4 linked regions of the Lonchura striata genome follow. The protein of the gene in region 1 purifies or fractionates together with the protein of each later gene. This does not show direct contact. Links are inferred from orthologs where the notes say so. Each region holds a gene or a part of one and is shown in the gene's direction. Other genes may lie near its edges.

Region 1 (7,146 bases):
ATCCTATGGCTTTTTGTTTGTTTGGTTTGGTTTTGGGGTTTTTTTTAATTTTTGGTCCAACTTAAATGGATATTGGCAGGTTTCGCCTTTATATTAGCAATAGAAAGTTCAGAGCTGATTCTGGAAGCCATAAAATTTTAAAATAGCCTCTTCTTACCAATCGTACTGTTCAGAGCCATTATTTAATAAAACATGTCTTGACAAAAGCATGCCCATAGCCCAAGGTCCTTCAGCCCCTGTGACTCAGTAGTCACCAAAGTCTGAATGTGACAATGGAAACTGATGTGCTCCTTGGAGAGCAGGGCTTTACACAAGCAGCAAAATCCACTTCTACCAGTATTTTGTTCCTTCAAGGCCTCTGCTCAACCTTGTTGTGTGGAATCAGTTTAGACAATTGCATGCCACCTCCATACTTCTCTCTCATAATTTCTGTTGGCAAAGGAATTTCCCCTTACTTTATTTGCTAAAGCTGTTGGTGCCTAAAGGACACTCCACTTCTTGCAGGTTGTTGGGAAGTGTCAGTGACCAACATGTCCTGTGTGAAATGCTCCAAGACCTTTGCAAAACACCCCCAGAGTCTGTGGTTTTTACAGAGGTACATGAGAACATTTTTGCCTGAGAAAGTATACTTTTCTACAATATGCAACAAATAACAGAAATTAAACCAGCCTTCATTTCAGTCGCTCCAGAGGACATAGACATGGCTTGAAGAATGTAAAGATTTTTTTACAAAGCCACTAATAAACCTTCTGATCTTCTTTTCCCAGGTATAATTATTCCTTCTGAATGCTGCCTGTAATGCCTAAGGGAATGTGAAGTACAGGGGTTGCTGATGTGGTTGAACCTTTCCATCAAATTAAGTCTCTTCTATTTCATTGTTTAGCATCTTACCTGTCCAGAATTTACCTCTTGAGTTAAGAAGTGTTGTTTATTTTGATCATTTTTATCCGAGTATGTGCAGCAACTGGTAGGCATACAGATATCTGATATTAACAATAGCTTATTCCATTACTTTGTATCATCATCTTCATTTGTTACAAGATATTTCATGAACTATTTAATTCTGGATTTGCAAATGTGAAAAGTGCTGAATTAGATAAAAAAGGTGCAGAGGATTTAATAGCCTAAACCTACCCCAAAAGATTTCTCAGAATGCATCAGAAATATGTTCTTAAAACCAGCTGTGATATTCTCATCAAAATAAAAATGTCTCTGCTCCGAACCATGCCAAGACCTCTACAGAGCCTGAACTCCTTATTCATTCTACCGAGGATCATTTTGGCATGATCATTTTGTGAATAGAGATGCATATGGAAACTTGATATCACTATTGTGCAGAAAGATATTGTCCAAAATATCCTGATGAAAACAGAAAGGAATTAATCCTTTTTGTCTTAGAGAGAGATTTATATTTGGGGAAGATACATTTCAGATTCTTAGAACCATTCCTTGCCTAATGTTTCTTTTGTGAGGAGCACAGAATAAGTTAAGTTGGTAGGGACACACAAGAATCATTGAGTCAAACACCTGGCCCTACACAGGACACCCCAAGAATCACACCACGTGCCTGAGAGCATTGTCCTGATGCTTCTTGAACTCAGGTTTGGTGCTGTGACCACTTCTGACTGTTCCTGTATGGGCCCTGGCTGCTCAGGCTTGCCCAAAGCAGGTCTGGTAATAATGAAACTATCTCTTCCCAGAAGATTTCAGCTTTGATTACAAGAGGATAAGGGATAGAAAAGTGAGCACCTCCCACAGTTTTTCAAAGGTTAAACACTCTCATTGTTAAATATTTCAACTTAATTTCTCATTTGAATTTCCCTAATTTCCACTTCCACTACTTGTAATAGCATTGCTTTCCTCTATGAGATTAAGGAGTGGCTTAATATCTTGCATTTCTAATTTGTACAAATCGCCTCTCAATTTCTTCTAATGAACAAAATATACTAAATGTCGAAGAGCAGATAAATGGAGTTAACCTCATTCTAATCTGGCAATAGTAACATTTACCTCTTAAACTTCACCACAAAACAAATCAACTTATTGTATTTCCCCTACACTTCCAACTAATGATAGCCTTATCTTACCTTTGTAGTCTTTTAACCCTCTTCTACCTTCCAGAATTGTTTTAAACTTGAAGACCAGGACAAGAGTCCCTCTAGAGTTCACTATATCCCTTCTTCCACATCCATGGCCTGCATGAGACTTTTTGTTACTTCATAGCACAATAAATTTGTCCTAAGCTCCTTGTCTCTCATAACCCTCATGGGTCCTTTTCAGGGCCACTGGTTCCCAGCACAGCCTGTATTTAACCCCACATTTTTTGCTTACAGATATATGAGTTTGCACAATGGGATGTTGGAACACAGCTCATTTAAATGAGCTGTACTTACCAAGTCATCTAGCTCACATTGTATTACTCTCCTCCCAGTATCCCTGAATATTTTGCCACTCATTTTGAAACATACACTTTATGAATAGCAATTTCATATTGACAGCAAGCTGATGAAAATGGTGACTAGCATAAATCATAGTGTGTGCCTTCCTCTGGAACTTCCTCAGAAATACCTTATGCAACATTGATTCCTGTTGATTCCTTTTTACTTTGAAATGCCAGCCACTTCCCAACCCCAGTGGCACACCTCTTCAAGTGTTGCACAGTGCTAATTCTTTAATCAAAGCATCATCATAAGCAGAAGATAGCAGTCATAGTGTGGTGATACATTCCCCCCATACCGCATTAAATAATACTCCACAGCAAAGAAAGAAGGAGAAATGTCAAAATAGGAGGGATAAAACATCATTTTTTCACTCAGACTAGTATAACAGCTGAGCACAGAGGGTTTGACAGCTTCTAAGGGCCCCCTTTTCTATGGGGGAAAGCAGCCTCCTGAATCAGGTGGCAATATTGCCAGATATGACAACAGCAATACTGTTATTAAATGAGTGACAGAATTGGGTAGAAGGGATGACAGATGAGTTTTGCTCAGGAAAATAATTGATAAATGTTGGGTGACAAAGTCTTGTATCTTTACCTTTGTATGAATTGCTCATAAGACACCAGCAATCTCAGAGAGAAGGGCAAGTATCTGTCACTCATAGAGGTGCTGACAGAGCTGCTGTTACCACAGTGTTAAGCCAAAAGCTGATTCCCACTGGAGCTGATGAGTTCAGGCATAGAGAGACTGCACAGGATTGCCCTTACCTTCCTCCAAATCTTCCCAGTCCTAAAAGTTGTAGCAGATTAATTTATCCTGAAGGAGTAGTTCACCCTTCAGATTAGGAGATGATAGGGCAGACAAAATGACTAGAGGACTGCAAGACAGTTACTCTGTCTTATTGTATTCCTGCCTCCTATGGTGTGATTTTTAAAATCTCTGATAGACCATGTTTGTTTCTTTAGTCATTCTACCCTTTTCTTCCCTGTCTGGCTTCCATTTCTCTTCTAGATGAACCAACGCCTGGCTCAGTGGGACTCTTCTGCCTTTGATTCACTAGAGGTGATATAACAATAGCAACTTAATTAGTAATCTTCAGTTATATATAGTGCTATATATTGCCACTTTAACTCAAATAGTTTATAGCTTTACATAGGAAAACAGATTTTCCTATGTAAAGCTCCACTTAGTTCCCATGTATTACAACTCCCTGAGAAATATTGTTCCATATTCCAAATTTTAATTGTACTCTAAAGAGTGTATCTCTTGATTTGATTTAAAGAACTCCTATGTTATGTATGCTCATTTAACAAAGACAGCACAACTCCTTTTTAATGCAGAAATTCTTCTCTTTTCAATCAATATTTTTACACCACTTTCAGTCTCTTTTCTTTCCTTCACTCCCATGTCCCAGTTCAACGATTTCTAAGCAGCAGGTATATCAGAATAAATTTTATCCTGATCCACTTGCTCTATATTTTCTACTTTTTACTTGGACATATTCAGCTGGATGAACTGTGAAGTTACTGAACTTGGAGACTGTGTGAATAGTGCGGGGGAGCGGAATAGGACGGCTGAAGAAATAAACTGGGATACCGCAAAACTACACCTCCCAGGACGCCTTGCGGCCTACCGCATGCGCCACCGCGCCGCGAGTGGCCTCACGAAGACTACAACTCCCAGGGTACGCTGCGGGCACTGCGCATGTGCAGGTGTCGCTGTCTCCCCGCTCCTCGGCTGCCGGGCGGACGGCCTGCGCGGTCAAGATGGCGCTCACCAGGTGGGTCGGGCGGGCCCGCCCGGGCCGTGAGGGCGCTGCGGCTCCCCCGGCCGGGCCGGGGATTCGCCGCCGCGCTGCGGGGCTCCGCCGACGGGAGCGGCCGCGGCTAGGGAGTGCGCGGGGGGGCCGCAGCCTCTCCTGGGCAGGGGGCCCGCCGGCCGGGCCGCGGCCGCAGAGAGTGCGGCGAGGGCCGGTCGGGCCGGGGGAGCCCTGGGGGTTTGGCCGTGGTCAGGGCGCTGCTTCTTTCGCCTGTTCACTGCGGGTAGAAGGAGCTCCTCCGCTTCGGTTGGGTCCGTGGGGTTTTGTCGAGGTTTCTTCACCGTCGGAGAGGGCGAGCGGTCTTTGTTGCGATCTGTAGTGTCTCGCAGGGCATGGGAGTGCAGTTCCGGTGGCTGCACCGGAATCCCAAGTTTCTTTGGATACTTTCTTAGTAAATGCACAAAAGGGCTGTGTAGACAAGAAGAGATAAAAAAGGGGAAGTGAAGAAATTGGGGTTCGACTTGCCCTTGGCAGGGAGGTGTCAGGGGTAGAGGAGAGAGGTCTTTGTCAGATCTCTGTGGATGTTTGCCTTGAGAGAAAGGAAGAACGAATCACTGGGACTAGAGACACAGGAACATAATATTTCTTTCTTATTCCTAGTAGTGTAAAGAATACCGGTGATATGTGGGATTCCTGTTGGAAAATGGGCATTGCCACTCTTCTATTCAAGAAAGATGTGAATGCGTGTGAATTTAGCATTTGTTTTTGTAGGAATCTTTCAGAATGCTGAGAAAGCACACATTGCAACTGTAATCTCCGAAGTTACTGAATCTTAGAAGTTGCCCTCACATTTATGAGTGCAATGCTCAAGTTTCATAAATTGTTTCTTAATCTATAGAGTGCTTGTCGAGAAAGTATTAACTTAGCAAGAAGTTCAGTCAAGCATAGTTGAGTGCCTGTGAGTGAAGTTACCAGAATTAACTTTCTATGTAATTCTCTTTTGGTTGCTGTCCATGGGTGTCCAGTTTTTTGCCAGCTCCAACCCAGCTGTCCCAAGATCAGCTAGAACTAGAAGAAAGAGCAAGAGCTCAGAGATCCAGGCAGGCTGCTCTGGTCTCCTCGAGAAGGGAACCCCCCCCCTATGGTTACCGGAAAGGATGGATACCTCGTGCACTAGAGGTAAATATTTAAATTGATACAGTAGTAATGTGTCTGCTAAAAGGGAGAAAAAAATTCTGGAGTAGAAATAAGCTCTGAGCACCTTGAATGTTGCTGAGAATTGTGCAAAGCCTTACAATGTGCATTATCCATACTGCTTGATAAACCTTTGTGTTGGGAGAGGTTCTAATCTACTGGATTCCTTAAAGCATTTGATGGTAAACAGGATGGTCTATGTCTACTTCTGTTCAGAGATTGTTGTGTTGGAATGTAGAAATACATCTGTAGCCCTTTGGATTTACAGTCTGTGAACACAAGGTTTCCCTGAGAAAAACATCCATATTGTTTCTCTGTTAGTGTTAAATACACATTCTGGATTATAGCTGAAATAAGTGAATGTGTGTGTATCAGAGACAAGATGTTCTGTGTGTGTGTTCTGTTCAAAAAGATACCTGCTATTGGGGGACAAAATTATTACAGTTGGAAGGAAAATAAAAAAATAACCAAATATTTGTTGTTTAAGTATGTTATTGGCTAAAAGATTTTGGACAATGTTGTGTGTTAGTAGTTGTAACCCTTGCCAGTTTAATGTAATCTAAACTGGAACTGCTAAAGGTAGAATAAAAATACAGATGTATTCTGATTATAAAACAGTTTTAGTACAGTCTCTCACTGTGAGCCAGAAAAACCTTGCAGTTTGAAGTGATCCTTGACAATAACTTCTGAGACCTGTTCTGATGAGTCACAAGCCAATGCTCTTGGAACAAGCAAGCTGTTGAAGTTTTATTACAGTAGTTTATGTATGATCCTATGTTGTTTCCAAATACCATAATTTCATCAACTTGTAATAATGTTGCTCTCATTTATGTTTGAGTGCCATTTTTATAAATCCAACACTGTTCTGTGGTGGTCCATGTACTTCAAACAGTAGTTCCAGTGGTTCACGGAAAGAAAACGTTCTTCTGCAAGTTCAGCATTTCATCATATGCTGCATATGTATGATGTCAAAAATTATACTTCCATTATACCCAGTGAAGGTTTCCCTTCCTACACTGTTGAGTACTAAAGCTAGTATTTTAGTGCTTATTCTTTCTTAATGTTAATAAAGAAATATTTTAAGAAGCCAGATGCTGAAGGTTTGCAAAGACTTTCCAACACCACTTGGCCACAAATTAATGCACATCTCAAAAAGCCTGTTAAGGGCTCCTTTCCGCTTCATAAACAGGTGCAAATTGCAGTTAATGCTTTCAAAGCATAACCTTTGTCCAGTGCTCCTGGACTGCCATTGCTGTTCTTTTTACGTTAAGAGTTGCAGAAAGAAAAATTTAAAAAATTGAAGAATGACTGAATTTAGTTCTGGCTAATACTTTAACAACTAATTGTTGAATGTGGGACATCCAGTGGAAAACTTCCGATAGCGGAAACTGTTTAAAGGAGCATTTGCAGATGGGATAAGCACACTGTCCGTGTTTGGAAGTGTTCTGCTTGGTCATTTTCAGTCTCAGCCCACTCCGTCCTAGTGGTGGTAACTACTTGGTCACATGGTGAGCATGGAGGAAGATTGATGTACTCAAGGCACCCATTTTTATTTTTTAATATGTTTTGTTGTTAGCCATGCCATTGCAACAGAGAAAGGATAGATGCTCATGCTGCTTTAAGCAAATGCTTCCTCCAAAGTGTTCCATTTGAAACTGCAGCCTGAAGTTGTTTTATGAATGGTACCACTGCATCCTCTGTGGTACTGAGACAGGGTGATCTGGTTTAAGAAGTCTTTTAGTTATCTGTTTATTA
Region 2 (7,534 bases), on another chromosome or scaffold:
ACTTTTTGTTTAAGCTATTATCTGCATGTATCTGCTCATTTGCTGTTTGGTTCCAGAACACTGTTACCAAAGCAGCCACCTGTGCAGTTATTTCCTCCTTAGGACACCTCTGTTCTACATCAAATACTTTCATTTTCTAGCTCACAAATGCAGAACTCTGCAGAACTCCACAGAACAGCACATGGGGTTTAAATACAGCTGCTAGTTCTGGTCACATCCCAGCATGATCTGACCACTCTGCCTGATCCCAAACCTTCGGTATCACAGTTCAGCCAGTACTAAACCTTCAATATAAATGAGCTTTCTCGTGCTGTGGATAATGTGGTTTGAAAAGACTGTCCAAAGGATTTTTTTTTTTTTTTAAAGCAGGCTATCCTCCAAGCCAGTACTCCATCACCTGTTATAAATGCTGTAACTATAATGGCAGTGCTTCCTAGAGGAAACTTCTTTCATGAGCAACAATGACTTTTAAAGAGGCTCTTGTTAAGCTATTCAGAAGACTCTGCAATTGTCACTGCGTGTTCATCCCAGTGATACTCGCAAGAGTTTTGAAGTCCACTGTGTTATACCTCCTACTGTAAGACCTTCTTTTGTGAATCTATAAGCAAGGTCAGCTATGAGATCAGACAAGATGACTTTAATTAGTCCAAGTCTTAAACTTCCAAGGATGGAAGAGTTTAATTTATACTGTCTACTAAGACAATAACTTAAACTGTATTTACTGTTGTCTCTTTCTTTTAACAAGCAATTTTGTTTATATAAAAATGCCAGCTACTTGTACAGAGCTAAGTAATTTTCAAAAATAGTGTTTTTCTATTAGTATAGATCACCTCACCCTGTTCAGTTAAACCTTTTCTTTAGGCAGGTTTTCTGTCTACTCTTTTCATATATGAATAACACCATTATTCTATTGTTCTCTTATTTCATAAGCAGATGATTGTAAAAACTGGTTGTAAGTATTAAGATCATGTATGAAAAAGGGTTTTGTAACAGGTGTAGGTGCTTTTTATTGCTGTTAGGAATCAATGCATTAAAGAACACTTATAGATGGAAGTAAGGCTGTATGCTCACGCTATAGTTTATATTGAACTTTGGACAAATGTACGTACCAGGATAATTATAATATAGGGATTAGAAAACCTTTCACAGTAAGTATGAGGCTAACTGTATAACAGAATGGTGCTGTGTATTAGAATCCAGTTTTGCTGATCACCAATTACTACTATTGGTAACTTTGGACTGCTTTTCCACCACTTCCTGAAAGTGCCCTCAAGAAATCTTAGTGCCTCTTTCATATATAGTGAGCTTGATATACTCAATTTATCAGATCTGCTTCAAGTCTTGCACATAAAAAGTCTGTTTGCTCATACTCCTGAATGACTTTGGTCATTGCAATTAAAATGGTTGTATAAGCCTAACTTACCTGCATCTTTGCACAGGAATCTGACCAAAAAAAATACCCATGTGCATATGGTAGAATTGAAATTCTTTAGAGATGCTCAGTGAGCACATCTTTTATCTCCTAGCATGATTTCACTGGCTGTGAATATGTTCTAAGCTTACAGCCCATTCTGTATGTGCTGGAGCCACATGCTAAATGGAAGTAATGCTTCAGTAGCTACTATGAACTCAAAATCCAGATGACATATACTTTTTAAAGCTGAAACTTTTGGCCTAGATTTTTTTGGCTTAGACTTTTATTTTAATATCATGTGACCTGAGATTCAAAACCCTTTTAAAATGGTGGTTTCCTTCAATACACATGCTTTAGAGCATTCTCTGTGTTCTTACACTGGAGACATATGTAAACATAGGATATTTCAGTTTAGCATATGCTCACCAGTGATCAAAGGAGAATGTCCTCCTAGTTCTGATGTCAGTATTGAATAAGCCCTATTTAAATGGCTAAATATCCTTGACTTCTTGAAATGTCTTATCTTTGTTCCTTCCTAAATGTTACATATTAAAGTGATTAGTTTTACCAAATTAATACAATCTAAAATTTTTATAGGCTGTTGCAAACAGGATTTAGTCCAGTGTAGGGCTATTTGTGTTAGCTGAGAGGATTCTTCAGAATGCATTTCCACTGTATTGTCTGAGGCTACTCATATATCAGAAGGTCCCCAGCTGTATAAATATTTTTGAGATTGATAATAGGAATGTTCTTCTAATGGAGTGGGCAAGAAAAGATACACTAATTGTTGAGAGAATAAAAACATGTATTGGTCAAACTAAAGAGGAAATAATAGAATTATTTTGAAAACTCATTTAAAGAAGTGGAGGGGGAAAATAACTGCTGTAGATTTAAACTAGGACTATGTTTAAAAATTTGTACCACAAATTCAGCTTTCATAGCTTTTCAGCTATATAGATACTGCCTTAGAGAAGAAATACCTGAAATTACTTCCTTAAGAAACACCTGATTCTAAGAGCCTTTATGAAATTATCTTCTAAGAACAGTAGCTTTAAAAAAATTAGAAATATGCAGTTTAGTATGGACCATATAAGAATTTAGTAACATATTTCCTTCCTCATGTTCCTGTTCAGGCACAAATAATTGACTGCATTTGGGAAGTGTTAAAACTACCTTTTTATGAAAATGGTTTCTTTGACAGATCAGTCCATTAAAAACACCCCCCCTCCCCCACTGAAATACACATTTGAGAAGGTAACTTCAAACCATATTGAAGAATAAAGCTTTTTAACTGTGTTTACAGTCTTTGCTTTATAGAAGACCCTAAAAAACTGTTTCCTAGCTTTCTTGCTAAATATTATATTTTGGTCTTCAAACCAAGCCACTCACAAGAATGCACTTCCATTTCCAGAAAGCAGATCACCTTCCTTTTCCTGCTCTTTTCCTATGTCTTCATATGCGGTGTCTTCACTAGTAACTGGCCCTGAAGGTTAATTTTGAGGAAAGCTGCACCATTTCTATATTCCCTCCCCCACTACTACTAATCTCTGCTGAAAAACATAAGAAGGGGTGAGAGAGAATTTGTTTTTTTCCTTTCTTAAAAAAAAAGTGTTTAATATCTGAACCCTTTTTCAGATATTGAACACTTTTATTATCTGAAATGCTTGTTTTTGTAAAAGGTGTACTCTAAACTCAGCATGCTCTCTAATGACATTTTGTTGTTTTGTTTTTTTTTACAAAATGCATCTTTTTAATTTTTCATGTGGGAAAAATACCTTATCTTATGGAAACACTTCCATATCAAAGCATGATATCCAAGTTTAGTGCTCTCTAATGAATTTGATGCTGGGTTTATCTCAGAGAAACTTGAAGTTAAGTGGAAGGGTACATTTGTAGATGCATGAGGTAGTTTTTTTATTAGTTTGCTGATGTTTTCTTTTTTGTTTGTTTTTGAACAAGAAGCTGTTTCCATGCTATACAACTGCACCCTGAAGAGCATAACAAGAAATGGATGATAGTTGTCTATAGATAAGTAACTATTTCTGACAGGCATATAATGTAGCTGAATAAGAAGATGGACTACATAGCTTTGCAGATAATTTAAAAATAACAGAGACAGTTCAGCTATTCATTTTAATTTCTCTTGGATGGGTATAGGAGATGTTGAATATTTAATGATTTTTCTTATATCAGTTACAGGCGACTAAACCAGAAAAAAAAAATCTACTGGAATCACGAGGGCCTTTATTTCTGATGTTGTGAGCTGTTTTGTGACTCCTCATTGCCACGATTCTAAAAATAATTTGCCAGGGCTGCCGGTTTTCCCATGTGAAAATACAGTATGGGGGCAGTTTCTGCAGTCAGGGTTTCTTGCACAGAGAACCCCTGTCCTGAATACTTCCGTGACTGATCCATTTGCACTTCAGACGCATCTTTACTGATAGTGCGTCTGCCTTGATTTGTATTTTTTGTGCCGAAGTTTCCTAAGACGAGTCAACTTTCGTCCTCTAACGGTAAAACAAAACCAGAAAAATATTTTTCATTTTTTTTTAAGCCAAACGATGGCTTCTTATTCCGGTGTGATAAGCTTCCAGAAATTCCTGCTCTTCCCCTCCTTCTCCACGTTTGATTCTGCGAGACTTGCAACGTACGGGGGTAGGGGGAGTTTCGCGATGTTCAGCCGGCATTTGTTACTTGCCGGTCAGGGTAACTCACTGAATTTCTAATCTCGCTGATTGCGTTCCTTTGTGCCCCCAATGCGAAATACAATTAACTCGCCGGGGCTGCTCCCCAGGGACTTTCGTCCCTCGGGCCCGGCCTGACGCGGCCGTAGCCCGGGCCCGAGCGCTGGGCCCTGCAGGGGCCGGGGCTGCTCGGTGCTGCCCCGCTTCCTTCCGGGCAGGCGGCATCCCGCCCGCGCTCCATCCCAGCGCCACAGGGACACGGCTCCCTTCCCGGCGGAGCCCTCGGCACAGCGCCGGGCCCGGGTCCCGCTCGGGGCCGGGGTCCCGCTCGGGCCGGGCGGGTCCCGCTCGGGCCCGGGTCCCGCTCGGGCCGGGCCGGGGTCCCGCTCGGGCCCGGCGGGGGCGGGCCGCTCCGTGCCCGGGCGGGGCCGCGGGGCCGCCGGGAGCGGTGACGTGTCCCGAGACCCCGCCCCCCGGCAGGCTATATAAGGGGCGGAGCTCACGCCGTCGGTCTTTTTCGCTCCGGGTTTGCCGCCGTCGCCGAGCAGGTGAGGCGCGTCCGCCGGGCCGGGCCGGGCCGGGGTCCGCTCGCCCCGGAGGCCCGGCGAGCGCTGGGCCGGGGCGTGCAGGGGGCCGAGGGGAGGGAGGGGCCGGGGGTGCCGGCGGGAACCGAGGCGGACGGGCGGGCAAGGGAGCGCGGGGCGGAGGGATGGCGGCGCATCGTTCTGCTCGATTACCATGTGCACACCCCCGTTGTCCGCGCTGAGGGCGGCGGAGCGGCGTGCCCGGGCGGGCGTGGGGCAGGAGGCGCCCGGCAGCCTCCCCTTGCGCCCCGCGGGCGGCGGCGCGGGGCCGTGCCGGGCGGGGCGGCGGGGCCGCCGGCGGGAGGGGGCCGGGGCACGAGTGCAAAAATGGCCGCTCGCCTCGCCGCCCGCCGCCAGCGCCACAAAATGGAGGACGCGGCGGCCCGGGCGGGGTGAGTCACACAAAGGAGCGGGGCGGCCCCGCCCTCCGGCTGCCCGCCGGGCCCGCTCGCCGCCGCCCCGCGCCCCCGCCGCCGCCGGGGTAACTCGAGCCCGGGGAGGGGGCGACGCGAGGGGCGCTCCGAGGGGCCGCGGCCCGCCCGCCTCGCTCCTCCCCTCCCCCGGCGGGGCGGGGCCGCCATCCCGGCCCGGCCGCCCGCGTGCGGCTCCGCCATCGCTGCCCCGAGGCCCGGCCCGAGGCGTAACCAGCTTCTTCTCGGGAACCTGCAGGTGTCGATTCTCTTTTGCCGAAAGAAAGAACTCAGCTAACATCCAAAATGGGAAAGGAGAAGACCCACATCAACATCGTCGTCATCGGCCACGTCGATTCTGGCAAGTCCACCACCACCGGCCACCTCATCTACAAATGTGGGGGCATCGACAAGAGGACCATCGAGAAGTTCGAGAAGGAAGCGGCTGAGGTGGGTGGGCGCATAGCAGCCAGCAAAATTCTGGGCTGCAGGAATGACTAGCCCCTTAATTGAAAAGTGAACCTGCAAAGCCTTCAGTGGCCACGGGGAGGCGGTTCGGTTGCCTCTGCCCCAAGAGCTGAACAAGTGGGTCAGTGTTGCGTGGCCACAGGGCGGCAGCTGCGTTGCAGTTGTCCCCGAGGTAGAACAAGTGTTGTAAGTGTTCCATCTGCCCTTGTGTTAATTGCAGAAACTCAGGTTGTGAAGTGTAAAGCAAGTCAAGAGAAGGTAGTCTAAAGCTACATCTGAATAGTAACATCTCGAATCAGGTTAAATGGCCAGATACAAACTACATAGAAGGATAGTTGATAAAAGTCTTAATTTAAAAATCTGGGAGTTTTACTGATACTGTTCTTTTTCTGTGTAATAACAGCACAGGTCATAAGAACATAGAATAAAATTTGACAAATGTTTATCAGAGTGGAAATTAAGGTGTTGATTATTGCAAGGATTGAAGTAGTAGGAGGACTTAAAATTGTAGAAGATACCTGATAGTAGGACTCAGGCTCAAGAGCTCTATCATAAAGATGCTTTAGTGAAATTAACAAGCTGCCAAGGAGTCTGAACTGTCAGCAAGTTCAATAAGATTCAACAGTTGGCATCTCTCACCAGTAGTGCTAAGCGTATCTTGTTGCTGTTTTTATGAGCAGCAGCGTTTTTCAGTGTTAAGCCAGTTACTATTAATAGATTTTGCTCTTCAGTCAGTGTGATCTTTCTGAACTAGTTGCAGATACAAAACCCCTTCTTTTTAATGGTAATAAAAATGGGTTTTTTTCTGACTGTAGATGGGCAAAGGTTCCTTCAAATATGCCTGGGTCTTGGACAAGCTGAAGGCTGAACGTGAGCGTGGTATTACTATTGATATTTCTCTGTGGAAATTTGAAACAAGCAAATACTACGTCACCATCATTGATGCTCCTGGACACAGAGACTTCATTAAAAACATGATTACTGGAACTTCTCAGGTATGTAAAGAAAGTACGATTTGGGGGGTTCTGGAACGTTGTTCCTTGGTTGCTTAGGGGGCGGTTCCTGTATTACTTTGGCATACACGCAAGCATTATAGTGAGGTTGTTTTTTCTTTTTTTTTTTTTTTCAAAGGCTGATTGTGCTGTCCTGATTGTTGCTGCTGGTGTTGGTGAGTTTGAGGCTGGTATTTCCAAGAATGGGCAGACCCGTGAGCATGCCCTTCTGGCCTACACCCTGGGTGTAAAACAGCTGATTGTTGGTGTCAACAAGATGGATTCCACTGAGCCACCCTACAGCCAGAAGAGATATGAAGAGATTGTCAAAGAAGTCAGCACCTACATCAAGAAGATTGGCTACAACCCAGACACTGTGGCTTTTGTGCCAATTTCTGGTTGGAATGGTGACAACATGCTGGAGCCTAGCTCTAACGTAGGTTTGACATTTATTTCTGTTAAGGCATGAAACTAGGAAGACTGTTAAGTCCAATTATGCAATGATAAAACGCACATTTTGTAATAGTTATGTTTGGGAAGTGCTAAAGTTCAAGATAAATCTTAGCAGTTACAAAAGTTCTTACTCTGCAGCAGTAAATTGAAATGATGCTAAGGGATGCTGCTTGGGCTTTTTCAGGCTTGGCACCATTAAATTTGGCAGTCGGATTAACCTGGGTTTGTTTGCATTACAGATGCCCTGGTTCAAGGGATGGAAGATCACCCGTAAGGATGGCAGTGCCAGTGGAACCACCCTCCTTGAAGCCCTGGACTGCATCCTGCCACCAACTCGTCCAACTGACAAACCTCTGCGTCTGCCTCTTCAGGATGTCTACAAAATTGGTGGTATGTGTTCTCTGGAATGCTGCTCACGTGCCAGCAGCAGCAGCTCTTTTCCAAGTCAAAAATTAGAATTCTTGTCTCGAGTGGGGTTTTTTCCCCATAAGGGCATATATTTACTAAGCTGAATAATAAATAATGCTGT
Region 3 (7,231 bases), on another chromosome or scaffold:
TTTGAGGATCCCCTGGGTGGGTGAATGGAAATTTTGGGGTCTGAGTGCAGATTTGGTGTCCATGGAATGGGTGGATCTTTGGGGTCTGGGTGGTGTTTGGGATCTCTGGGTGGGCAGGGACGGGTCCTTCAGCCCACCTCAGGGGTCCTGGGGGTCCTGCAGCCCGGCAGAGGGGAAGGTGGCCCTGCGCTACGTGACCCCCGTGGTCCTGGCCGTGTTTGCGCTCGCCCTGTACCTGCATGCGCAGCAGGTCGAGTCCACCGCCCGCCTCGACTTCCTTTGGAAGCTCCAGGTATGACCAAGTTGTGGTGGGCTGGGAACGACCCTCTTCCTGCCTCCTGAGACTGGGACTGACCCCCTCCCTGCACCCCAGGACTGGGGTGATAATGGGCCTTCCCATACTCAGACAAGATTGACTCCCCTCCCTGAACCGTTGTGGTTCTGGGACTGATCCTACTCCCTGGGATTGGGGTGACCATGGGATGGGAACTGTCTCTTCCCCTACTCCCTGGGATTAGGATGGCTGTGGGGCTGGAACCAAGCCCTTCCTTCCATCCTGAGACCAAAACTGACCCTTCCCTGCCCCCCAGAACTGGGGCAGTCATGGGACAGGGACCAGTCCAGGGCCAGGACCAACCCCGTCCCCACACCCTGACTTGAAGGTGGCCACAGGGCTGGGAGCAACCCTTTCCTTGCATGCCAGCACTGGGGTGACCATGGGGCTGGGACCAACCCCCACCCCACACTGTGCTGCTGGGGCAGCTGTGGGGTCCTGTGGCAGCTCCCAGCTGGGTGTGTGCCCACAGGCAACGGGTGAGAAAGAGGAGATGGAGGAGCTCCAGGCCTACAACCGGCGGCTGCTGCACAACATCCTGCCCAAGGACGTGGCCGCGCACTTTCTGGCACGGGAGCGGCGCAACGACGAACTCTACTACCAGTCCTGCGAGTGCGTGGCCGTCATGTTCGCCTCCATCAGCAACTTCTCTGAGTTCTATGTGGAGCTGGAAGCCAACAACGAGGGTGTGGAGTGTCTGCGGCTGCTCAACGAGATCATCGCCGACTTCGATGAGGTGCTGGGGCAGAGAAGGGGCAAGGGGGTGCATAGGGGTGAAGTGCACAGGGGTGGGGTGCAGTGGGCAGGGTTCGTGTGGTGCTGGAGAGGCTGTGGGGCAGCAGGGATGAGGCTGTGGTCCAGGGAATGTGGTCACAGGGTGCTGGAAAGGCAGTGGAGCAGTGGGGATGAGGTACAGGATGTATGTCATCCTTGGAGAAGGCATGGAGCAGCTTTCATGGAGCCACAGGAATGGATGCAGAGGCTGTAGAGCACTGTGGATAGAGTGCACAAGGATGAAGTACAGGAAGATGGGGTGTTGGAGAGGCTGTGCAACAGCAGATTTGGGGAAAGGGTGCAGGAGATGGAGTGCATGGGGTGCAGGAGAGGCTGTGGAGCACCATGAATGAGGTGCAGATGGGATGCACAAGATATAGAGAGCCTGCAGAGCACCATATTTGGACAGGGCGCAGGAGATGGTGTGCAGGGGGTGCTGGAGGGGCTGTGGAGCACCATGGAGGAGGCAGGGGATGTCATGGGGTGCTGGAGAGGCTGTGGAGCAGCATTTGTGGAGCCGCAGTGCAGGGTGCAGGAGGTGCTGGAAAACCCACGGAACAGCATTCACGGAGCCATGGGACGGGGTTGGGGTACCCTGTTGAGGTGCTGCGGGGGTGAGCCCAGCCTGTCCTCCCAGATCATCAGCGAGCAGAAGTACCGGCAGCTGGAGAAGATCAAGACCATTGGCAGCACCTACATGGCGGCATCGGGGCTCAACGCGGCCACCTACGACCGCGAGGGCCGGAGCCACATCGCGGCACTGGCCGACTACGCCATGCACCTCATGGAGCAGATGAAGTACATCAACGAGCACTCCTTCAACAACTTCCAGATGAAGATTGGTGAGCCCTTGCACACCCCTTGCACACGCCCCTCTGCACCTCCAGCCATCCCACACTGTTGTTCATGGCTTTGTGCTGGCGGCTCTTGCACCCCTTTTTTCCTCTCTCCCAATCACCTCTTCTTTTTCTCTTTCATACCCCATTTTCCTCTCTCACACCCCTTTTCTTTTTGCACCCCCTTTTCTCCCCTCCTGTCCTTTTTCCCCTCTTGTACCCCCTGTTCCCTCCCTCACCCCATCTTCCCCTCTCACCTGCCCTTTCCCCTCACCCCTCCTTCCAATCTCTCCCTCCTTTTCCAATTTCACCCACCACCCCTTCTTTTGCCCCCCTCACCTCTCTTTCACCCTTTTCCCCTCTCATCTCCCCTTTCCCCATCACCTCCTCTTTTCCCCCTCCACATTCCTCTTTTCCATGTCACTCTCTCCTTTTCCAAACTCACCCCCTCACTCCTCTTTTCCCCTTCCCTCTTCCCCAAGTGTGGGGGGTTCATCCCTGACTCTCAACCATGTACCCCCAGGCCTGAACATGGGCCCAGTGGTCGCAGGGGTCATCGGGGCTCGCAAGCCCCAGTACGACATTTGGGGCAACACCGTCAACGTCTCGAGCCGCATGGACAGCACTGGGGTCCCCGACCGCATCCAGGTGAGTCAGGGGTGGGAGGGACACAGGACACCTGCCCAGAGACCCCCCCTCCAGGTCTCCCCCTTTACCCCTGTGTCCCCCCTCCAGGTGACAACAGACTTGTACCAGGTGCTGGCTGCCAAGGGCTACGTGTTGGAGTGCCGGGGGCTGGTCAAGGTCAAGGGCAAGGGGGAGATGACCACCTACTTCCTCAATGCGGGCCCTGGGGGTAGTTAGGGGGGTCCCCATGGTGTCCCCCCCATGCCGGGGACACCCCCAGCCTGTGCCGAGCTCAGGCGAAAAAAAAAAGGAAAAATCCCCAAATACACATATTTAAAAAAAAAAAGGGAGAAATGGACACAAGGAGGTGGTTGGGGGGCGTGGGGAAGTAACCCTGTGCCCCCCTCTGTGGCTGTTTTAGGGGGTGTTTCCCAGCCCTGCACCGGGGTGTTTTTTGTGGGTGGGGGTCACGGTAACCCCCATCCCTTTGCAGAAACCCCACATGTGCCAAAGAGGGGAGATGGGGCCCCCCAGAAAAGGGACTGCGGGGGTTTTGGGGGCAGGGGGTCCCCAGCCCCCTCCATGTGCCAAATTGAAGTGCCGCCTGCGGGGGTGGGGAGGCGCAGGCCCAGCATCTCCGCAGCCCCCTCACCCCCCGGGGGTCCCAGCTCCCTCCGGGGGGACTGTGGCGGGGAGGGGGGGGAGGGTGGAAGACCCTCCCCCTTTTAAATGCAAAAAAAAAAAAAAACCCTAATGAAGTGACTTTTTTTCTTTTTTTTTTTTTTTTTTTTGAAGCAGTTTTGGGGTTGGGGGGGGGGCTCAGCCCGGGGGGAGTGGGGGGAGCACTCGCCCCCTCATCCCAGCACAGACCTGAGGTACTTTGTCCTTCGTGTGTACAGATAAATTATATATAAAACACTTTGGATACGAGCTGTGGCCTGGCTTGTGGGGCAGGGGGGCACACGGGGCTGCCGGTTGGGAGGGGGCCCGGGATCCTAAGAGGGGAAAACACCGAGACCCAGTGAGGAGGGGTCCCGGTGGGCGACACAGCGGAGTCCCGGTGGGGAGGGGAGGGTCCCGGCAAGGGAAAGAGGGTGGAAAATCGGTTGAGGGGGGAGTACAGGCAACGTCTTGGGGTGCGGGGGGCTGCGGGACCCCGGGAAAACCGGATCTTGGAGGGGTGGGGGGATCCCGCTGCTCCGTGATCCCGGGGGAGTGGCGGGGGTGGGGGGGACATACCGGAGGGGTCCATTGAGGTGCCGGTGAGGAGGGTGGAGTGCCACACCGGTATGCCGGGGTTCCTCGGGTGTCAGTGCGTAGAAGAGGGAGCCGAGGAGCTGGCGGTGGGGCCACAGGGGCCGCCCTAAGGTGCGGGGGCGTTGCGGGACCCCCCGAAAAACCGGAGCCCCTCACGGCGTGAGGGGAAGCGCGGCGGGGCGGGGCGGGGCCAGCCGTGAGGGGCGTGACCATTCCGCGAGGGGCGTGGTCAACCAATGAGGGGCGTGGGCTCTCTCAGGCCCCGCCCCTCCAACGTCCCTCCCTGCTTTGGAACGCTCGCGCCGCCAACGGCTCCCCCCCGCGCCCGCCCACCCGCCGCTTGACGTCATCGCGTCGCCGCGCTGCGTGCGCACGCCGCGTCCCCCGCGCGGGCGCAGAGCCGCCATGGAGGCCTCGGCGGGCGGCGGCGGCGGCGCCGGGCCCGGGCGGCGCTGGTACTTCAGCCGCGAGCAGCTGGAGCGGAGCCCATCCCGCCGCGCCGGCCTCGACCCCGACAAGGAGCTCTCGTACCGGCAGCAGGCGGCCAACCTGCTGCAAGACATGGGGCAGCGCCTCAACGTGTATCCGGCCCGCGCTAGGCCGCGCTAGGCCGCGGGTGGGAGCGGGGCGGGGCGGGGAGAGACGGGAGGGAGTGAGGGAGAGCCGGGAGGGGGTGAGGGGAGAACCGGGAGTGGGAAGAGCCGGGAGGGAGTGAGGGAGAGCCGGGAGGGGGTGAGGAGAGACCCGGGAGTGGAGGGAGCCGGGAGGGGGTGAGGGGAGGGCCGGGTCTTGTGAGGATCGAGGAGAGCGCGGCCCCGGCTCGGGGAGATCGCTGCTGGGGTGTCGGGAAGGCCCGGCCCGGCTCTCGGGGCGGGGAAAAGCCGCTTTTCCCGTTTTTGGCTCGGGAAATGGCGTTTCGGGCGCAGGGAAAGCTGTGCTGGCGTGTTGGAGAGGCTCGGGCAGGCCTGGCCGGCCCGGGAGAGGGGAGAGCTGTGCCGGGGTGCTTGGAAGGGAGCGGCAGGCCCGTCCGGGTGAGCCGTGCCCGCGTTGGGATCGAGGAGATTCTGGGAGCGGGGAGAGTCGAGCCCGTTTCGAGGTGGTGGAGATCCCGTTTCACGGGCAGGGAAAGCTGTGCTGGTGAGTCGGGAAGCCCCGGCCTAGGAGTGGGGAGAGCCTAGCCTCTTTTAGGATTGAGGAAATCCCAAAACGAGGGAGTGGGAAAAGCTGTGCTGGGGTGTTGTGAATGCTCGTCCCACAAGTGGCCAGGAAAGCCGAGCCTGTTTTAGGACCAAGGAGATCCCAAAAAGGATTTTGGGACCAAGGAGAGCCGTGCCAGGTTGTCAGGAAGGCTCGTCTGGGGAGCAGGGAGAGCAGAGCCTGTTTGGGGTCGAGGAGATCCCATTTTGGGAGCAGCGAGAGCTCTCCTGGCATGTTGTGAAGGCTCAGCTGGGTTGTGGAGCGCGGTGAGCCTGTTTTGGGCTTGAGGAGAGCTGTGCTGGGGTGCAGGGAGGGCCTGTCCTGTCCTGGTGCTGTTGGCATGTGGGGTCTGTCCCAGTGGCTCCCCTGGGCCTGTCTGGGGGTCTCTGTGCCTTTCCTTAACCCCGTTCCCAGCTCCCAGCTCACCATCAACACAGCCATCGTGTACATGCACCGCTTCTACATGGTGCAGTCCTTCACCCAGTTCCACAGGAATGTAAGTGCTGGGATTTGGGGTGCGGTGGGGTGCTGGGAACCCCCAGACCCACTCCTGCTGCTGCCTGGGAGGGGGACCCACCTTGGGAAGAGGTTTGGGAAGGGAGAGGGACCCTTTTGTCTCTCCTGGTGGTGGCCAGATTTGAACAGCCTTCATTCCCTGAAGGAATATTGAGAATCCACCTGGTTTGTTTGTTTTAATCTTGAATTTAGTGGCTTTTTAAGCAAACAGAGTGTTTTCCTCCACAGTCGGTGGTGCCAGCAGCGCTTTTCCTGGCAGCCAAGGTGGAAGAGCAGCCTCGGAAGCTGGAGCACGTCATCAAGGTGGCACATGCCTGTCTGCACCCCCAGGAGCCTCTGCTGGACACCAAGAGTGAGGTAAATGTGGGGAGGGAGCCTCAGGGTGTGCTGTAAGCGCTGGAGGCCCGAGGAGCAGGAATGGCACCTGGGATCCACCCTCCCGGGGTGCTCAGGGGCAGCTTCTCCATCCAGCTTCTCCTGCAGCAGAGAGATTTGGGCTTCCCCCCTTGTGTGCAAAGCCTCTTCTCTGCTGCACACCTGGATGCAGATGTGCTGTTTGCCTGTGTCCCTGGAGCACTGCCCAGGAGGGTGTGGAGCAGAGGAGCTCCACTGTGGGAGCAGTTTGTCCCAGCATCTGTCTCAGTGGGTTAAAAACGTTGCTGAGCCCTCATCTCTTCAGACAGCCCCTTTTACTTGCAGCTGAGCAGCGAGTCCTGCTGGAAGGGGCAGCTTTTTCCAGGGAATCCTACAGAAAATTAAAAAACAGCAGGAAAAGCGGGTGATTCCTGCACTGCTCGTGTGCTACCCTAGGAGTGTGGGGGACCAGCACCCAGGGCCCACCCAAACACTCTGATCCCTCTGTCTTAGAATCTCCAGATGGTTTGGGTTGGAAGGACCTTAAATCCCATCCCATTCCACCCACCTGCCACGGGCAGGGTCATTTTCCACTCGCCCAGCTTGCTCTGAGCTCCATCCAGCCTGGCCTCAAACATTTCCAGGGAATCTGTGCCAGTCCCCCCGTGCAGGGAGATTCCCATTTTTGCCCTGGAGAGAAGGGTGTTAGGAATGTGCAGGCTTGATCCGAGTGCCTCTCCATGAGTAACCTGCCTGTCCTCTCAACCCCAGGCTTACCTGCAACAAGCCCAAGACCTGGTCATTCTAGAGAGCATAATCCTACAGACCCTGGGTAAGTTCCTCGAAGCGGCCGGACTGCCACACCAATCCCAGAGCCAGGAGAATTCCACAGGCTGGAGAGCCTCACCCCTTCCACAGAGTCCACACAGCAAACCCCGTTTTTCAGCTCGACTCCTGTTTTAACATCAATTTTTCAGGTGTAACTTGTGCCAGGCTCAGTGCTGAGAGATTTAAGTGTGGTTTGTCACTTTGATTTTTTTTTTTCCCCTAAAAAAACCAGGATTTGTGCTGCTTTGGACACTGGCCCTTGTCCTGGGTTGTGCTTTCCAGCTCAATCATAGAATCATGGAATGGTTTGGGTTTGAAGGGACTTTAAAGACCATCCAGTTCCAGGCCATAATGCTCCAGTTCTGTTGCAGGAAGCAGTTTGTACTGAGAGATGTCTTAAAAAATTGGGTTAGAAGTGAATATTTTGATCAAATAATTCATTGGGGGAAAGTCCCCAGAACTCAAGAAACCAGGAGCATTTTCTGGGTGTTTCTGGAAGTAGGAGTCT
Region 4 (6,892 bases), on another chromosome or scaffold:
CTGCAGCTGTACAGAATGCACTGCCTCATTTAATCGTCGACTGCTCAAGTGAGAATGAATTGCTGCATGCCCCAAAATGGTCATAGCAGCTCTCAGATTGCCCCTGAGACAGAGGACTTAATTCAGACTTCTAACCAGCCTGGGACCTCAGGGCTTGCCTACACAGTAAAAACTGCAGCATGTAGAGGCAAACCCAGGCTAGTTTTAATAGCATTGGTAAGAGCAGCAGTAGAGACACAGCAGCACAGGTTCAGCAGGTGTGAAGTGAGGGGGCAGCCTACTGTGATAGCAGATGTGTTTTGATGGAAAACAGCCTGAAAAGTCAGGTTGGCCCATCTTTATTGCTATTGTTGCAGTGCCGGAGAGGCTGCAGGCTGGTTTTGGTTGGCTGGCCTGAGCCATGGATGCATCCTTCAGCCATGTCTGGGAACTGCTGCTTCCAGCAGAATACCTGCTCACAAGGAAGGTTCTTAACCACCAAATTGTTTGGGTTGGAAGAAACCTTAAAATCATCTAGTTCCAGCCTGCTGTGGAGAGGGACACCTCCCAGTAGACCAGTTTGGTCAGAGCCTCTTTCATCCTGGCCTTGAACACTTTCAGGAATGAAGCATCCACAGCTTCTCTGGACAACCTGTTCCCGTGCCTCGCCACCCTCACAGAAGAGAATTTCATCCTAGTATCTAACGTAAACTTCCCCTCTTTCAGCTTGAAAATACTAAATTCCTGTAGATGAAGACAGGAAAATAATCCTGCATGGCATTTCTTGGGTGTGGACTTTCTCTTTGATCCTCTTCCATGACAGCTCATGTGTAAGTATTAGGGTATGTGACAAGGCATATACCAGGATTTGAAATAAGGCAAAGCTGGAACTAAGGTGCTGTTTAGTAGTGTTACAGTTTGCAGTGCTTTTGGTGTAGGTCATCTCCCTCGCTCTGGGACTTTTACATCAGATGTCTGAGACCTGGAAAAGTTGCTCTTTCTGCTGTCTCAAGGGACTTTGTGCATGTGAATGAGACTTCTGTTCATTGCTCTATTTTGTAATCAGCACCCATTCTTTACAATGCTGTAGTTTAAACAAGAGACAGCCAATGTTTTCACTGTTGTGATGGGAATGCAGGAACAATGGGATACCCACTCTCTTCTTATGTTTTTGCTGGTGCCCATAGTGAGAGCAGGTCTGTGCAGTCCTTCACATGACCACAGATGTGCAGACATGGGAGGAGACAGGGATGTAGCATGGCTTCACCAGCAGCCCTGAACATGCTTCACCAGTGATGGCAAGGAGGAGAATTAAATCCTACCTTTTGTCCTTAAAATTCCTCCAACTCAGCTGTGAATCACATTCCTTCCTGCAGGGATGCACTCCAATCTTTCTAGACCAACCAGTTATTATTTTGGAAAATTGATGCCAATTGTCCCTTTACATACCTCAGCAAAAATAGAGGGGGTGGGGGCAACTTACTCTAGAGAGCAGGAAAAGCTGTTTTCAAGGTCCTTCCAAGCCTCTGAAAGGGAAAATATCCCAGTTTTTACAGGCAGTAATTTCAAGACTTGTCCTGGAAGACTATTTTTACTTTTAAATTTGCATTTTGTTTCCAAAGTTTTGCTATTCCTCCTTCTTGTGTAATGTCCTTTTGTTGTTAAAGAGGGTAAGTAACGTGTGATACATTTGGACACTTAGAGCTGTTCTGCGCCTCTGATTCAGCTGTTGTGACTTCTACCTGTGTGGAATTAAACCCCTACTTACGTGTGGAGGAAAAAAGTGTTCAGAGCTGCTCAGCTACTTTGATTTCTGCTTTTTAAACCCAATCTAATTGAAGCTTAATAAATTGGCATGGGATGAATAGAAGGATCCTAGGAAATAAATGGTAGCAAACTATGTGTCATGGCTACAAATGGGTTCTGTTTGGGGTGGGAAATGGTTTTTAATTATCTTCTATAGAGACTGTAGAGAGATGGATGGAACAATTGTTCAAATGAAGCTATTTCCATGAGCTCACAGGCAACGAGCCTTGCTTATCCAACCATGTAAAACAAAGAAAACTCAGGCAATTAATTTAACGAGAGTACTCAGGACATGATATCATTCTGAATGGATGAGCCTGAGAAAACAGCTATTTTGAATCACAGCAGGATAAGCATACAAAACAGTGTCCCTGTGCAACAAAATCCCCCTTAGCTGGGTGCCAAGAATTGGTCTGTTAGAGCCATGGGGTATTTGCCCAAACCTCGTCTTTTGGGATAAGCAAATTCCTTTTTAAATACTCACAGTAGTGGTAACTAAAACTTATGTGTGACTTGAATTGCTGGTGCTTGTGAGAAAGAAGGAACCGTTTCATACAGGCAAATTAAATACGTTCCTGGGACAAGTCATTACTAGATGTAGATCAACTACCTTGGCTACCATTAAATAGATATATCTTTTCTCTCTGGCATAGAAAGAGAATACAAACCACTTTTATTTCCAGTAAGCTTTTTTTTGTAGAATCTTACAATAACAGCTGGTGAAACAGCTGCTTTTCTGCAAGTAGTAGGGGGCTCTTGCAGTTGGCAGGAGAAAGATGCACTATAAGTAGCAGTATAGCAGTATCCAAAATACCTTTTTTTTTTTGTTGTTGTTGTTTTTTTTTTAGGAATTTTGTTTAGGTTCTGCTTGCACTAAGGGCTGTCTCTGGTTTGACTTCTCTCTCATGTCAAGCTTCTGGATTTTTAAAGCCCTTTATTTTTCCTCCTCCCTTTTTTTGCACTTTCCACTGTTTTCAGTTTTGTAGTTTACTGTTTAATTAGCCTTAAATAAAAATAACCTTTGGGTAGTTGTGGGTTTCTTGTTTTCTTTAATGAAAGAGCAAACCAATGAACCAGCCACACAGACCAGTTCTGGAACACAAAGCCTCATACCAATAGCTCCCATCTCCCTCACAAAGCTAATACAGATATCGAAAGCATCACTTTTCCTCCCTTCCCGGCTGGTCCAGGTTTTGTTGCTTTTGCCACAAAGGGGAGTGGAGACTGGAGCAGGACAGCCCAGGCCTGTGCCCCAGGCGGTGCCAGCGAGGAGCAGGGCAGCAGAGGCTGCCGTGTGTCGGCCAGGGGCCGGAGCGCTGCGCGGCAGGTGCGGTGACACTGCGGTGACACTGCAGTAACCCTGCGGTGATACTGCGGTGACCGTGCGGTGACCCTGCGGTGACACCGCAGTAACCCTGCGGTGACACTGCGGTGACCCTGCGGTGACACTGCGGTGACCCTGCGGTGACCCTGCGGTGCCGGGCACTGCCGGGCACTGCCGGGCACGCTCGGCTGCGCGGCCTCAGCCCCGGGCGCGGCCCCGCCGGCCCCGTGGCTGTGTGCGAGGGGGCAGAGGCGGGAGACAGGGAGCTCCTGGGGCAGCGAACCCAGCCAGGGGGCTGGAGAATCTCTCGTGCCAGGAATGCCCGAGGGAGCTGGGTCTGTTCAGCCTCGAGAAGGGGTGACTGAGAGGGGCCCTCATCAATGTGACTGCGTACCCAAAGGACGGGTGTCAAGAAGACGGAGCAGCCTCTTCTCCGTGGTGCCAAGTGATAGGACAAGAGACGTGGGCAGAAACTGATGCACGGGAAGGGAAGTTCCACCTGAATAGGAACAACTTGTTTACTGTCGAGGCGATCGAGCAGCACAGATTGCCCAGAGAGGTTGTGGAGTGTCCCTCGCTCGAGAGGGGGCAGGGGCCGGCCCGGCTGACCCAGCGCGGTCCCTCCAGCCCGGCCCGCCCGGCGGTTCCGCTGCCCCGGGGCGGGGCGGGGCGGGGCGGGGCGGCCCCGCCGCGCTGCGTGAGGCGCTGCCCGCGGGCCCGGCGCGGGGGCGGGGTGGCCGCGGGGCCGGCGGCGGGGCGGCTCCTTCTTTGGCCATGAGCGAGGTGCCGGCATTCGGCCGCCGCCGCCGCCTGCGGGACGCGGGGAGGGAGCGGCCGCGGCGAGGCTCCGCCGGCGGCAGCGGCGGGTGGGATGGCCCAGGCCCGGATCAGCGCCAAGGCCAGCGAGGGGGCGCCGCAGCAGCCGCAGCCGCAGCAGCAGTCGGGCGGGCAGCTCCGGGGCCGCTTCTACCGCTCCACCTCCATGGCCGACCGCTCCAGCCGCCTGCTCGAGAACCTGGACCAGCTGGAGCTCAGGTGGGGCCCGGCCGGGCGCTGGGGGGCCGGGAGCCGCTGGCCCTCCCCCGGCTGGGGGGCGGTGCGAGGCTTCTGGAGGGGACCCGGGGGAAAAGGCTCTCCTTCATGGGGGACAAAGTTTAAAAATGGGAGCTACTGCTCAAAGGTGAGTTAGCGTGGCCTGGCAATACACGAAAATAGGAATAGCTATAAGAATGTATGAAAGTGGACGTTTTTCAGAGAAAGCGCGAAGGGCTGTTTGGGATTTGTTAACCCTTCAGGGCGCGGGGAGCCTTTAGACGGGGCTGCGCTCTGGAGCTGTGACACGGCGGGGACGAGCCCGCGCTGCATCCTGACTGCCGTCCCACCCTGTCCCCCTGTCCCGCACCTGCGGGCAGGTGTTTTATAGGGAGATGCAGGAAATCCGAGGATAAAACATGGTGTCATTCAGGCTCTCGGAGACTTTGGCAAGCCTTTAAGCTGCAGTGCTGTATGCTGGCGTGTGAGGCTTCTTGTCTTCCAAACCTCCCTTCGCACTTACTGGTTCAGCTGTGGATGTTCTTGTAGTGTTTGTGTCTGCCTCCTCTCTGAGGTGTATTAAAAAGTGTCACTATAAAATGTGAACAGCATTGCATTCTGCAGCTGAGGCGTGTTTTTCCAAAGTTATTGTAAATACTATGTGAATTTCATAATTGTGCCAAGACACGTCCTAACTTTTTCTGCTACTTGACGTTCCCTAAATAATACCATTTTACTTTTTTCCCAGTTTGGCTTCATGAGAGATGATACCTTGCCTTTAATCATCTTCCCTGTCCTCTCAGCTCTGCTAAATTACATAGTGTCCTTTCTGAGGTGGATGGATGTGCAGAATGCCACTGATTCACCTCCTCTGGTACTGTTTCAACACACCCTTTCCTTCATTACAGCTGCATATTGATCAGCAGCTTTCATAGAGCCACCCAGAATGTTTCTAGGACTTTCCTGTAATTAAAAGAGCTCTGTGGGATGCAGGAGTTTTATTTCCCCTTTCTGCCTGCATTACTTTGCATTATTCAGGAGTGGACTCGATGTGCTGTTATATTAGCCTTTCACTTAGCTTGATTAAATCTCCTTGAAGTCCTTTGCAGACTTCTCTGAATTTGACTAAACAAAATCACTGTCTGCAAACAAGTCTCACTGCTTACATCCAGGTCTAGGCGTATGATGAATATATAATCAAAAAATTAGCATGAGAATATGCAAAAATGTGTTTTAGATTTGCTGAGTGACTCTGAAACAAAGCAGACAGTTTGGTTAGCCAGCAATTAAACCCTCAATTAAACTTCCCAGTTTGCTGTGGTTCTTTCAGACAGCCATAATTCTAAATGTGGAATAGTAATGAGAAAAAAAAAAAAGTCTAATTTGATAAAAGTCACTCAAGTCTTACAGTTTTTTCCTATTCACAACTAATCAACATGCTTCATTTCAAATTTATTTGAATGACAGGAGGAAAAACTTCCAAACTTTCTCCTTTTCCAGCTTGTTTGGTTTTGCTATAGACCCTCAAGATGTTGCTTGTTAATACAACCAGTGAAAATTTGTCAAACTGAACTACAGCCTTTAATTAAAACCCTCAACAATCCTCAGTTCTCAAGTTGCTTAAGGTCAGCTGAACTCTGAAGCAAGCCTCATCCCTCTGGAAGTCACAGGATCACAGAATGGTTTGGGTTAGGAGGGACCTTAAAGGTCCCCTAGTTCCAACCTCCTGACATGGGCAGGGGCACCTTTCAGTAGACCAGGTGGCTCAAAGCCACATCCGGCCTGGCTTTCAACACCTCCAAGTGTCCACAACCTCTCTGGGAAACCTGTTCCAGTGTCTCACCATCCTCATAGTGAAGAATTTCTTCCTAATACCTAATCTAAGTCTACCTTCCTTCAGTTTAAAGGCATTGTAAACTGCTCCAGTTTGAACAGCCTTCCTTTTCCTCCCTTTCTTTCCACTGTGAGAGCTCATTTTCCAACAGTAATGGGGTATTTTTGTACCTCCCTGATAGGTGTTTGCTGAGTGCATTTCTTCTGTATGGAAAGTGAGCAGGGAAGGGGAGTTAATTTGGGAGGGAGTGCCCGAGGCAGAGGTGGTGAGCCGGGCAGGTGGCACGTTTGCCCCTTGTAAGGGCTTGGACCTTCGTGTGGCTGTGACTGCCAAGATATCTCAGGAGCAGCTGGAAGCCAGACCAGAAGCTCTGTTTATGAGTCACTGCGTTCTGTTGGTTGTGTAAAGTGAAAACACAGTTTTAGGTGTGATGATACACGAGGTAAGTAAGATTCTTACTGGGTATTTTTTATCTTCATTTTTTGTACTTCTTGTCTTGTTGTTTGGATCAACCCTGTTCCGCCACCATTCATTTCAGTGTTCACAGGACGGCTTACCTGGGAGTGGACACTCAGCTGAAGAAGCTGAGGATGCCAGGATGAAACCCCCTGTTTTGTCTTCTTCCAGTGTGCCTGATTAGCTCTATTTCAGGAAAAAAAGCTGCTCCATTCTCGGATGTTTCTTATTTCCTTTGAAAGCTTATCTGGACCTCCAGCACGTGGGTTTTAATAGTGGGCTGTTTAAGTCAGTCATTAGTTTAAAGGACACAGTTATTGCAGCTGTCCTAAGAAAGCAGGTGTCAAGTTTCTCATCTGGAAACAAAAGCACAGCCTGGTCCACCTGTTTCTCAGGGGAATGCTCTGCTCATGTAAATGGTATGTAGCAAAAAAAGGCATTGCTCAGATAATTGCTCACAA

Evidence for each region.
Region 2: the proteins of SNW1 (region 1) and EEF1A1 purify together in Homo sapiens (affinity purification with mass spectrometry; 3 studies listed by BioGRID and IntAct, with this or other methods). This does not show direct contact. The link is inferred for Lonchura striata from reciprocal best matches to the Homo sapiens genes SNW1 and EEF1A1.
Region 3: the proteins of SNW1 (region 1) and CCNT1 purify together in Homo sapiens (affinity purification with western blotting; 3 studies listed by BioGRID and IntAct, with this or other methods). This does not show direct contact. The link is inferred for Lonchura striata from reciprocal best matches to the Homo sapiens genes SNW1 and CCNT1.
Region 4: the proteins of SNW1 (region 1) and BAG2 purify together in Homo sapiens (affinity purification with mass spectrometry; 3 studies listed by BioGRID and IntAct, with this or other methods). This does not show direct contact. The link is inferred for Lonchura striata from reciprocal best matches to the Homo sapiens genes SNW1 and BAG2.

Annotation. Positions count from the first base shown.
Region 1 is NC_134608.1:21,873,481-21,880,626, forward strand, and holds the start of SNW1 (SNW domain-containing protein 1), read left to right. Parts: upstream 1-4,132; 5' UTR 4,133-4,204; coding exon 4,205-4,218; intron 4,219-5,222; coding exon 5,223-5,376; intron 5,377-7,146. UniProt on the Homo sapiens protein: Involved in pre-mRNA splicing as component of the spliceosome. As a component of the minor spliceosome, involved in the splicing of U12-type introns in pre-mRNAs.
Region 2 is NC_134605.1:83,911,805-83,919,338, forward strand, and holds the start of EEF1A1 (elongation factor 1-alpha 1), read left to right. Parts: upstream 1-4,527; 5' UTR 4,528-4,646; intron 4,647-5,351; 5' UTR 5,352-5,398; coding exon 5,399-5,542; intron 5,543-6,375; coding exon 6,376-6,555; intron 6,556-6,691; coding exon 6,692-6,988; intron 6,989-7,244; coding exon 7,245-7,395; intron 7,396-7,534. UniProt on the Homo sapiens protein: Translation elongation factor that catalyzes the GTP-dependent binding of aminoacyl-tRNA (aa-tRNA) to the A-site of ribosomes during the elongation phase of protein synthesis.
Region 3 is NC_134629.1:6,118,342-6,125,572, forward strand, and holds the start of CCNT1 (cyclin-T1), read left to right. Parts: upstream 1-4,223; 5' UTR 4,224-4,233; coding exon 4,234-4,409; intron 4,410-5,439; coding exon 5,440-5,521; intron 5,522-5,769; coding exon 5,770-5,898; intron 5,899-6,666; coding exon 6,667-6,727; intron 6,728-7,231. Other genes in the region: ADCY6 (adenylate cyclase type 6), read left to right, coding at 163-292, 807-1,070, 1,746-1,950, 2,468-2,592, 2,680-2,808. UniProt on the Homo sapiens protein: Regulatory subunit of the cyclin-dependent kinase pair (CDK9/cyclin-T1) complex, also called positive transcription elongation factor B (P-TEFb), which facilitates the transition from abortive to productive elongation by phosphorylating the CTD (C-terminal domain) of the large subunit of RNA polymerase II (RNA Pol II).
Region 4 is NC_134605.1:89,198,153-89,205,044, reverse strand, and holds the start of BAG2 (BAG family molecular chaperone regulator 2), read left to right. Parts: upstream 1-3,887; 5' UTR 3,888-3,980; coding exon 3,981-4,144; intron 4,145-6,892. UniProt on the Homo sapiens protein: Co-chaperone for HSP70 and HSC70 chaperone proteins. Acts as a nucleotide-exchange factor (NEF) promoting the release of ADP from the HSP70 and HSC70 proteins thereby triggering client/substrate protein release.